Mus musculus: one gene and its partners. The protein of the gene in region 3 interacts with the protein of the main gene of each other region in a biochemical or structural test. Links are inferred from orthologs where the notes say so. Each region holds a gene or a part of one and is shown on either strand. Other genes may lie near its edges. The genes, in order: Nup88, Nxf1 and Nup98.

The links.
Region 1: the proteins of Nup98 (region 3) and Nup88 form a complex in vitro, tested with the Homo sapiens proteins (2 studies listed by BioGRID). The link is inferred for Mus musculus from reciprocal best matches to the Homo sapiens genes NUP98 and NUP88.
Region 2: the proteins of Nup98 (region 3) and Nxf1 form a complex in vitro, tested with the Homo sapiens proteins (5 studies listed by BioGRID and IntAct). The link is inferred for Mus musculus from reciprocal best matches to the Homo sapiens genes NUP98 and NXF1.

What each region holds. Positions count from the first base shown.
Region 1 is NC_000077.6:70,967,180-70,970,929, forward strand, and holds the start of Nup88 (nuclear pore complex protein Nup88), read right to left. Parts: upstream 2,795-3,750; 5' UTR 2,773-2,794; coding exon 2,470-2,772; exon of another isoform or gene 1,908-2,469; intron 839-1,907; coding exon 669-838; intron 1-668. Other genes in the region: Rpain (RPA-interacting protein), read left to right, coding at 3,328-3,408. UniProt on the Homo sapiens protein: Component of nuclear pore complex.
Region 2 is NC_000085.6:8,763,507-8,767,156, forward strand, and holds part of Nxf1 (nuclear RNA export factor 1), read left to right. Parts: intron 1-26; coding exon 27-110; intron 111-190; coding exon 191-295; intron 296-409; coding exon 410-490; intron 491-573; coding exon 574-643; intron 644-754; coding exon 755-843; intron 844-992; coding exon 993-1,100; intron 1,101-1,415; coding exon 1,416-1,525; coding exon of another isoform or gene 1,526-1,769; exon of another isoform or gene 1,770-3,290; coding exon 3,291-3,327; intron 3,328-3,573; coding exon 3,574-3,642; intron 3,643-3,650.
Region 3 is NC_000073.6:102,126,642-102,130,291, reverse strand, and holds part of Nup98 (nuclear pore complex protein Nup98-Nup96 isoform 1 precursor), read left to right. Parts: intron 1-209; coding exon 210-476; intron 477-1,190; coding exon 1,191-1,348; intron 1,349-2,384; coding exon 2,385-2,528; intron 2,529-3,650. UniProt on the Homo sapiens protein: Plays a role in the nuclear pore complex (NPC) assembly and/or maintenance. NUP98 and NUP96 are involved in the bidirectional transport across the NPC. May anchor NUP153 and TPR to the NPC.

The DNA of each region.
Region 1 (3,750 bases), on a different chromosome or scaffold from region 3:
CTAAAGGGATCTGCAACCCTATAGGTGGAACAACATTATGAACTAACAAGTACCCCGGAGCTCTTGACTCTAGCTGCATATGTATCAAAAGATGGCCTAGTCGGCCATCACTGGAAAGAGAGGCCCATTGGACATGCAAACTTTATATGCCCCAGTACAGGGGAACACCAGGGCCAAAAAGTGGGAATGGGTGGGTAGGGGAGTTGGGGGGGAGGGTATGGGGGACTTTTGGGATAGCATCGGAAATGTAATTGAGGAAAATACCTAATTAAAAAAAATTTAAAATCCAAAAAAAAAATTAACACAGTATTCTTCAAAAATAACAGCAGGGACTGGGAAGGTGGCTCAGGAGTTTAGAGCACCTGCCGCTTTTGCAGAGGATCCAACATTGGCTCCTAGCAACCTCGTAGCAGCTAAACTCTAACTCCAGTTTAGGAGATTTGACACTCTCTTCTTGCTGTCCAGGCACACAAGCACTGCACTTACTAAATGAAGGCAAACCACTCATACATGTTTAAAAAAGAACGGACAACAATAGTACCACAGGAAGTCAGTGTGCAGGACCATACAAATGCTCAAATGTTTCAATAGTGGCCCCTAAATACATTTCAACCATTTTGGGTCTTAGCAACTTACACAGATAAATACTAAATGAAAATACAACTTACCTACAATTCACAGTTGCTTTTCCACCTTCAAATTCAGAGTCCTTCCCCCACCTCTGAGGTAATTCTAATGCCATAAGTCCTTTACTTCCGATAAGTGCTACATGATGTTGGGTTGGACTCAACAAGACTTGATGGATTTCAAACAAGGGTGGATTAATGCAGAGTAATCTCTGAAAGTAAAACCATTTAGTAAAAATAGTTAATTTTAATATAAATTTATTTCAGAGTTGCTTGAAACCATAATCACGTTTTAAATTTCTAAAGTTATAAATAGCATTCTGAGCATGTACTAACTGTGTCATTAGCTGATTATTCCCCAAGAAATAATCTCTAGGTTCTTGATAGATGACAACACCTAAAAGCACTTGCTGCCCTTGCAAAAGACCTGAGTTTGGTTCCCAGCACCCATATTCTTGGGGCTCATTCATATTCATATTCTCTCTCTCTCTCTCTCTCACCAAACACACACACAAACTGAAAATAAAAACCACAGGGCTACTCTTCCAGAGGACCTGGGTTCAATTCCCAGCCCCCGCACGGTGGCTCTGTAGCATCTGTGTGCACCAGGCACATAGATGTTATATGCAGCACTCATTTGCAGGAAAACATACATACCCAGAAAATTTAAAAACAAAAACTTAAAAAAAAAAAAAAAAAAAGGGAGAAATTACCCCTGATCTTGCGGCCAGGGAACAAAGGCATGTTTTCTGTAGTTCCACACCACAGCTCTGGGTAATACCACAGGTCTTAAACATTCTAAACTTTCCCTGACATAACCCAGTAGGCGCTACTTGAGATTTTTCTTCTGTGTTCCTGGCCTCAAGCAGACTCTTGATACCCAGTAAATACATAAACTCGGAAGTATCAACAGATTACCATCTTATAACTGTACTGTAGAGAAAGGAAGAGCTTCAGGCCAAGTGTAAAGGTTCACGCCTTTATTCCCAGCACCAGATAAGGTGCAGGTGGCTCTGTTTGAGCTCCAGGTCACCCAAGGTCACAGGTAAGGCCCTAGATTACCTTCAAGCGCCTTGCAGCAAGCAGTACTGCTTCATCTACGTGGACTTAATATAAAAGAGTGATAGTTTAAGGGAGTTTCAATAATTTGTCATAGCATCATATAGCCTCAAAAATACTCTCACCCTGGTACTTCCTATTTCTTTTCTCATGACCATTTTAGATTTCTAATTTCTTTTTATTATTCGTAAATAATGATGAGACCATCAATATATTATTTACCTTAGTATGGAGAATTATACTAAGCCAAAAATCCTTTTAAATAAGGATTTCTTTTGAATATAATAATATTTCTAATTGCTTTTAAATCTGTAGGCCCATGTCTTTAAATGCCTGTTGTAGAACTGGGCAGTGGCAGCACATGGCTTAATCCTAGCTCTGATCAGGATCCTCCAGATCTCTGTTAATGAGGTCAGCCTGCTCTACAGAGTGCGTTCCAGAACAACCAGGGCTGTTAACCCTGTCTCAACAAACCCCTCCACCCCCACCGAAGCAAATCACAGATATTACGGAGCTTGTGCATGCTCTAGGTTTATGTCAGGTGCTGGACACACACACAGGCCTAGCCTCTGTTTTGGTGTTTATAAATGACTTAGACCCGTAATCTCAACACTCAGAGACTGGGGCAGGAGTTCCTGGCTAGCCTGGGCTACATAGTGATTCCAGACCAGATTGAGCTACAAAGCGGGGTCATTCCACTCGAAGTGGGGCGTTCCCAAAAGACGCCAGCCCAGGTCCGCCAACGAACCAAAAGGCTGATTGCTTTCACGATGGACCGGCGCACCTGATACTGGGAGAGAGGAGGCTCCACGCCACCACCGCTGGGGCCTCGAAGGCGAACCACCAAGAAGGCGCTGCCTTCTGCGTCCCACAGAAACAGTTCCCCTCCGAGGCCGAAGACCAGGTTTCTCGTCGGCAAATGCGGCGGCAGAGACGGGCACGAGGGTGAAGTCGAAGCCGCTGGCTTCTCCGCTTCGGCTGGACTCTGGTTTCTTACGCCCTCGCGGAGCCGCAAGAACACGACGTGGTTAGGAAGCCAGCTCTGCCACAGCTCCCCATCGCCCAAGGGCCCCACGGCAGCCGCCATCTTGAACTAACAGCTCAGGATTGAGGGGCGGGAGGAAACGAAGCCCGCTGCTGTGCGTAGCCAATCCGCGGCCAGCACTTCACAGCTTCAGCCTATCAAAGTGTAGGAATCTCGAGAAGTTGGCCCAATAAGAAAGAATCGCTAGAGGATAGACAGGGCCGCGGGTTGAAGCCAAGGTGGGCGGGGCGGGGCGGGGCGGAGTGGAGTGTAAGGATCGCTTTGGGGCTGCTGCTGGGCCAGTGAGGGGGTAGCGTTAAGGATGAGAGATGTGTGTCTGATTGTCTACTGGACAACTTCCTCTGGGTAAACCCAGAACTTTCTCTCAAGATTCACCTCCCTCAGCCCGGGTGGTGTTTACTTCTCAACTGTCACTGCTTCATCTATCCTCGGATTCCCCTAAATCTGTCACTGTGAGGGGATAGAAACTAGATACAATTCCAAGAAAGCCCGGCGGCCTGAAGTACAGACAGACTGCGCCGAGACTACAACTTCCAGAATCCTTTGCGCGCGGCTAAGGGGCGGTGATTTGGGCGCTGTTTCCCGCTAAGGGAGGAGATGGCAGAGTCCTCGGGGTCTCCGCACCGCTTGTTGTACAAGCAGGTGGGCTCGCCCCACTGGAAAGAAACTTTCAGGCAGGTGAGTGTGAAGTTTGGGTTGTCATCACTTCCCTAATCTTCCCAAGGACCTCTGTCCTCGGTGTGCTCGCTTCAGCACTGGTTGTGGAGCAGGTGCCCGGTGTGCCTGGCCAGCGAGGTGGATCTCTTGCTATAGGATTGGGTCCCGGCCGCCGCCCGGGCTGTTGGCCGGCGTAGGTGTTATGCTATCCTAGGATTCGACTTTGTTTCATATTTTAAGAGTCATGACAGCAGTAGCAACACCACCACCTAACGTTCGGTTACAGAGGGAAGCACTCCGTATGTATACGTCACGTGAGATAGAAGTTATTTCTCTCCTGAAGAACATCAGACACGGTTAGGA
Region 2 (3,650 bases), on a different chromosome or scaffold from region 3:
TGTGTACCCTTGTCTCTCACTTCCAGATTCCTTATGGTAGAAAGTATGACAAAACGTGGCTTCTGAGCATGATTCAGAGCAAATGCAGTGTCCCCTTCAATCCCATCGAGGTAAGACAGAGTTAGACCTGAAAGGCTGTGGAAGGACCTGTGGACTCCAGATTGAATGTTGTTTGTTTTCCTTCTTCCAGTTTCACTATGAAAATACACGGGCCCATTTTTTTGTGGAGGATGCCACTACTGCTTCTGCATTAAAGGGTGTCAACCATAAGATCCAGGATCGAGAAAACAGAAGGGTATGTGGACAAGGGCCTGGTATGGCACAGTTGGTGCACTAAAAGGGACTAAGTCTTAGTGCTGGTGATTAGGCTGCCCTCAATTATGTTCCTGCCTTTCTGTCTTCTCTTCAGATATCTATCATCATCAATGCTTCTGCTCCACCCTACACTGTACAGAATGAACTGAAGCCCGAACAAATAGAGCAGCTCAAGGTAAGGCTGGCTCAAGTGACATGGTCCAGCAGACTTTCAATCTCCATCAGTGACGACTAAACCCTTCGTTTTCCTTCTTCTAGCTGATCATGAGCAAACGATATGATGGCAACCAACAAGCACTTGACCTCAAGGGGCTCCGCTCAGACCCAGGTATGACTGACAACAATGGTTCTGACTAATTGGAGAGGGGAAACAATTGGTCTTTATAACACTGGTATGGGCAAGACCTCTCAGACTTCCTTTTCTTTCTATTTGCTACAGATTTGGTGGCCCAGAACATCGATGTTGTTCTAAACCGCAGAAGCTGTATGGCAGCCACCCTGCGGATCATTGAAGAGAACATTCCTGAGGTGAAGCTTTTTTTTTTTTTAATTTTAATTTAATTAACTAATTATTTATTTATTTATTTTTGCATTAAAAATCAGGGTGAGATGTGTAGGATAGGATGAGATACAGATTTGCCCCGTGGTAACACATCTAAACTTTGTTCTGTTCCTAGCTATTGTCTTTGAACTTGAGCAGCAACAGGCTATACAAGCTGGATGATATGTCTAGCATTGTGCAGAAGGCGCCAAACCTAAAGACCCTAAATCTCTCCGGAAACGAAGTAAGACTGACATCTAGGGTGCTTTTGTTTTTAATAGTTAACTGACTATGGAGGTGGAGGTCAGACTGTGTTGGGAGTTGAGTCTTTCCTTCTACGTGGGTTCTTGGGCTGTGATGCTTATGAGGTGAGAGCTCCTGCCCACTAAGCCATCACACTGACCCTGCTGTGTTTCTGTGATGGTGGAGCCAGGAGAGTGTGGCTGGCCATAGTGGGAAGCAAGAAACAAAACTTAGGTAGGATTTAGAAGTGTGGGAATCCAGCTGCTATTCTTAGTAAGGTCTGTTTCTTCCCTTTTACTCTCCTCATCCTTCACAGTTGAAGACTGAGCGGGAATTAGACAAGATAAAAGGGCTGAAGCTGGAAGAGCTGTGGCTTGACAGAAACCCCATGTGTGACAACTTCGGAGACCAGTCCAGCTATATCAGGTCAGTTGTAGCCTCTGTCTCCCCTCCTGGGGACATTCACCCCTGGGAGGCTGAGCTCATGCACCCTGACCAGTGCCCGTCTACAGGAGAACATGCAGCCCTGAGCTGGAACCACCTGTTCTTTGGGAGGAGGATCATGTATTCCTTTCTGCCTGTCTGTTGTCTCCTAGCTCTGTCCCAGATCTCTTCTTTCTTCTCACCTGACTTCTGTTCTCTAGTTCTGGCCTTTCTCCTTCTTTCTTGAACACAGCCTTTTCTAGAATCTCCCTACCTGTTATTCCAGGAAGAGCACCTCCCCTTTTCTGTTCTGATGTGGAGGTGTCTTATATATGCCCTACCTGTGTGTTTGTCTTCAGCAAAAGCCTGGTGTGCTTAGGCTGTGAGAAAGTCCTTTCTTACTGGGGCTGTCTACTGAGACAGGCCTTCCTTTGTCCTTTCATGGTCCCTCTTGCCGTTGTACCAAGAGGGACTCTTTATTTTCATGATCCACTTAGCCAAGGCTGTGGCCTGGTCCTTTCTGCCCATGCTGATGTTGATGCCTCTTGGAGGCTGGTACCATGCTATTGGTCTCTCTTGCCCAGTGCTGTGAACTGGGCCTTTCCTGGAGAAGAAATCTGGGTTTCCCTAAGATGTGATCAAAGCCGGGGCCCCGCCAGCAGGCGAGGGGGATCCCAAGGCAAGTGCTGGGCGTGGAGGCCACAGGGGCATCTGCTACCAAGGAGACAGAGAAATGACCCTGTCGGGCACAGCCCCTCCCTCACTCGCACACCTCACAGTCACCCTGCTTGGCCCCGAGGATGGCTGGTTAGCCAGAGACGGGTAAGATTCCTCAGGGAAGGAACAACCTAAGACAGGCACAGTCGCAGAGGGGCCATCAGGAGAGAACTTGGGGGCCAACTGAGGTGGGGCACAGACCCTCACCCCCCCAACTCGGCAGAGGCCTGAATCCTCATGTCTTCTGAGGGAGGTTTCCTGGCCCCATGGCTACTTTACCTCCCACGCCCAGCTTAGACCGGGACCCAGAGAGCAGACAGAGACCTGGCCAACAGCAACTGCAAATCATTATAGGATTTATTCTTCATTTCTACCTTGGGACCACAGGAAAAGGGCAGCTGAAGGAAATGGCTGTTTCAGGAGGTCTTTCTTTCTGCCATTCTTTTCTGAATGCCTCTGCCTTCAGGTCTGTCCCTGTTGCTTTGCTTCCTCTTTGTCTCTCCATTTCTCTCTTGTTCCTGCCCTACCTTTCTCCATTTCTCTTTCCCTTGGTCTCTTTTCTTTCCTCCTCCTTGAGCCCTGTCTTGTTCATCTCCTTGCCCCAACATCCTGTGCCATACTTGTGGTGTGTTCTGGTCTTGGCGAAGGCCAGACCTGGCAGAACTGGTGGATACCTGGTGAGGCAGCGGAGCCCCTGGGCTCCAACCCCATTCCCTCCTCCCGGGGCTGCACAGGTGAGTAGGTGGAAGGTAAGGGGGGCAAGGTGGGGAAGGCAGCCCTAGGCTTAAAGCCTGGGCTGAGAGTGCCCTCCTGTGGCACTCGGGATCAGGCAGCAAGACAACAGAGCCAGCCTTCAAGGCAATTAAGAAGGGGGTGCCCCTGGTGAGGAGGGGAATGGGGGTTCTTGTCCCCATGTTTAAGTTGGGGAGGAGTGGGCGATAAGCAGGATGGGATGGGCTGTTCCTCGGGTTTTTGGTGTATTTGCTCCTAGAGCAGCCCAGGAGGCATGATGGCTCTGAAGCGTCACTCACTTCTGTCCCGTTCTTGACAGCGCCATTCGCGAACGATTTCCCAAGTTATTACGCCTGGTAAGTCTAACATTTTGTTCTCAAGAACAGGGACAACCAAGGTCTTGCCTCTATTTTGTGACCACTAATGTGGGTGTGTAGATTTGTTTGAGAATCTGCTAACAGTGGTAATCTTCATCTTAGAAATGCCTGTGGACAAAGTTTATATAGGATCCCTGCACGCTCTCCGTGTCTTTTAGCTTTTCTCTATGCTCACAAATCCAGTCTTTCTTCAGTTTCTCATATTACATTCACTTCTTTTCACAGGATGGCCATGAGCTACCCCCTCCAATTTCCTTTGATGTCGAAGCCCCTACAATGTTACCACCCTGCAAGGTCAGAAG
Region 3 (3,650 bases):
CTAAGTATCACAGGTGTCACAGGCACGTGGAGTGAGCAGATATACCTTATAGTTGTGCAGCTTATACATTGAGATGAACAAATTGGGAGAAATGAGCTGGCAAACTTAAATGAATGGTTTTTGTGCTGATATATTTTGCACCACCGTTAATGATGGCCTCTCAAGAGGTACTGCCAAACCTTAAATCATTGGTTTTTGTACTTTCTTAGTTGTGAAGCACTGGAGCCTGACATGGACATTATGTGAAGCCCTATGGGGCCACCTGAAGGAGCTTGACGGCCAGCTGGATGAGCCCAGCGAATACATTCAGACTCTGGAGCGTAGAAGAGCTTTTTCCCGCTGGCTGTCACATACCGCTGCACCTCAGATTGAAGAGGAAGTCTCCTTAACCCGCAGAGACAGTCCCGTAGAGGCTGTCTTCAGCTACCTCACGGGCAGTAGGATTAGTGAGGCCTGTTGTCTGGCACAGCAGTCAGGTAGGAATGAGATTCTCTCTACCACTACCTACTTCTCCACACTACCCCTGCCTCTCAATTGTAATTTGCCTTCTAAATATATCTAAGTAAGATTATTGGTTCCTCTAGAGACCATGTCTTGTTTTCCTAAACAATTCTCTGGAACCTTAAATATTATTTATTTAATTAAAATTTTGTTGATCTTCTTATGTGCATTTGTAATAAAAATCAAAAAATGCAGATAAGTAGAAAGCAATAGGACAAAAATCACCCAAATTCTAAGACTTAGTCACTATAAACATTTAAATGTGTGATCTGTACTTAGGTGGTTATCCTTATAATAATGCATAGAGTATGCACAGATATATGCATATAGGACAACATGTTACATGCAAATGGTTCAAAGTTGCTGTCCAGGTTGTCCTCATAGTATAGTGGTGAGTATCCTTGCTTGTCAAAGATAGCTCCCTGAAAAAAAGCTGGGCCAGGACAGAACCCCTGTAGGAGAAACAGACTGAGATCCACCTGCTTCTGCCTCACAGATGCCAGGATTAAAGGTGTGTGCCACCACTGCCCAGTTTCAGCAGTGTTTTAATGTATAACATTGGCGTATTCCTTTGACAACTGATGAACTGAGTCTTTCCTCCCAAACCTGGAAGAAGATGGTGATAGCCTGTGTTTCATTAGGTCTGTAGATCCTTAGACCTCATGAGAAAACTTGTGTTTCTCTTATAGGTGATCATCGCCTTGCCCTTCTTCTGTCTCAGTTGGTGGGAAGCCAGTCAGTCCGGGAGCTGCTCACCATGCAGTTGGCCGATTGGCATCAGCTCCAGGCTGACTCCTTCATCCACGATGAGCGATTGCGCATATTTGCCCTGTTGGCTGGAAAACCGGTAATGTCATACTAATTTTCTTATAAATCTTAGACTATTAATATAACTGACAGTTTGGCCTTATTTCTAGGTAGAAATATTTTCAACCTAGTGTCAGTTAGTTGGGCATGCTGGCATACTCCTTTAGTCCTAGCACTTGGGAGATAATATTCAGGTGGATCTCTGTGAGATCTAGACCAAGTTCAAGACAAACCTAGTCTAGAGAGGTCCAGGATAGCCAGGGCTACTTAGGAAACCCTGTCTCAAAAAAAGAATTTTTAGAAAAAAAATTATTACATTTGTTTGTGTTTTTGCACACTTGCTCTCAAGCACGTGTGTGTACCCTCTGGCATGTGTATGAAGAACAAAGGATAACATGCCAGAGTTGATTCTCTCCTACCTAGTGGGTCTTGGGAGTCAAACAGGTCCTCAGGCTTTACCCATTCAGCCATCTCACTGGCCTAAAATACTTTATTAATTAATATAAACTTGAAATAATATTGGGGCTGGCAAATAAGATTGGGGCAGGTAAAGAAACTCACTTGCTGTCCAGCCTGAAACCTGGTCAGTCATGCCCTGTAACCACCTCTAACAAATTCTGCTGATCTTCATACACCATGGCATGCATGTGCTCACATACAAAAAGTCTATCCTATGTCAGTAATATTTACATAGTAAACAATGTATAATTATGTCTTCTCAGACATTTTAAAATCTATATTGATGTATAAGTTCATATTTGCACAGTTTTTAATAGCCACAGCTTTTCATTTTACCAAAATGGAGTAATTATTTTAATCCAGTTTTTGCTGTTTACTCTTTGATTATCTCTTGTGTCTGTATGTCCTTCTCATACTGATTATGGCAAGAAAATGGGAGGAGAGATTTCACATCGAAGCCATAACATTAAGACTGGGTGTGGTGGCATACTCCTTTAATCTCAGCAGAGGCAGGAGGATCTCTTGGTTCAAGGCTAATATAAGTGAACAGCTTATAGACAGGCAGTAGTAACCAAGGCAACCTAAAGTTGACATGGTAATGTTCTTGTCTCCTGCAGGTGTGGCAGCTCTCAGAGCAGAAACAAATCAATGTTTGCTCCCAGCTAGATTGGAAACGAACACTTGCTATCCATCTTTGGTATTTGCTTCCGCCAACCGCCTCCATTTCCAGGGCTCTCAGCATGTATGAAGAAGCATTTCAGGTGTGTGTGTATTCAGAAGAGCCAAGTGAGAACTCTAGTAGGTGCTTTGTCTTTCCAGAGAAGTCCTGCAAGCTAGATATGGTAGGCACACCTTTAATCCCAGCACTTGGGAGATAAGAGGCAGGTGGCCATCTAGGGCTACATGATGAGACTCTGTCTCAAAAAATTTTTTTCTAAAGTCATAGGAAAAAACCATCAAATAACACAATGCTTATTGCTGATTGCCCTCTTTCAAAATAGTATAAAATTGAAGTAGACCCAGCAAATTCAGAACTTTATCCTTTACCTTGCTTGCCTCGAGACAGGGCTCCTCTTCAACTTCTACCATTAACTTTCTTTTCAGAGGATGGGGGTGGTACCTTTTTATTTTTTTATTTTTTCTTTATTTCCTTTGTGGGGACTCTTTGAGACATGGTTTCTGTGTAGACCTATGCTGTCTTGGAACTCATTCTGTAGACCAGACTAGCCTTGAACTCAAAAATCTGCCTGCCCTTCCTGCCTCTACCTCCCCACCAGTCTACCCACCCTTTGCTTCTATTCTATTTAAGAAGTCATGAATTCTCTACTATTTTTTTCTACTTTTACGTGAAGTGATTTTTCATTTCTAAGACTAGCTTATCCCTTTGGGAATTGCTTAAGCCTGACATCAGGTTAAATTTGCCCCTTATTAACATTTAAGCTGAAAATTTTCAATGACATATCTCATGTCCCTTGTTATGATTGAAGTTAGAAAGTTGTTTTGAGCCGGATGTGGGGCACCTCTTTACTACGAGTGCTTGCAGGCAGGTGGTGCTCTGTGAGTTCTAGGCCAGCCTGGTCTAAATAGATCCAGGACACCCAGGACTACATATAATAGCTGTCCTCAACCTGTGGGTCATGACCCCTTTAGAAGTCAAACAACCCTTTCATAGAAGTCGCCTACAACCATGAGAAAACACAGATATTTACATTACAATTCATAACAGTAGCAAATAGCAGTTATGAAAGGCAACGAAAATAACTTCCTGATTAGAGTCACCACAGCTTGAGGAGCTGGATTAAAGGGTTTCCGCATTAGGAAGGCTGAGAGCCGCTGGCAGAGCTTGTCTATACAGGAGTCTTAATGATTGAGCCATGATACTA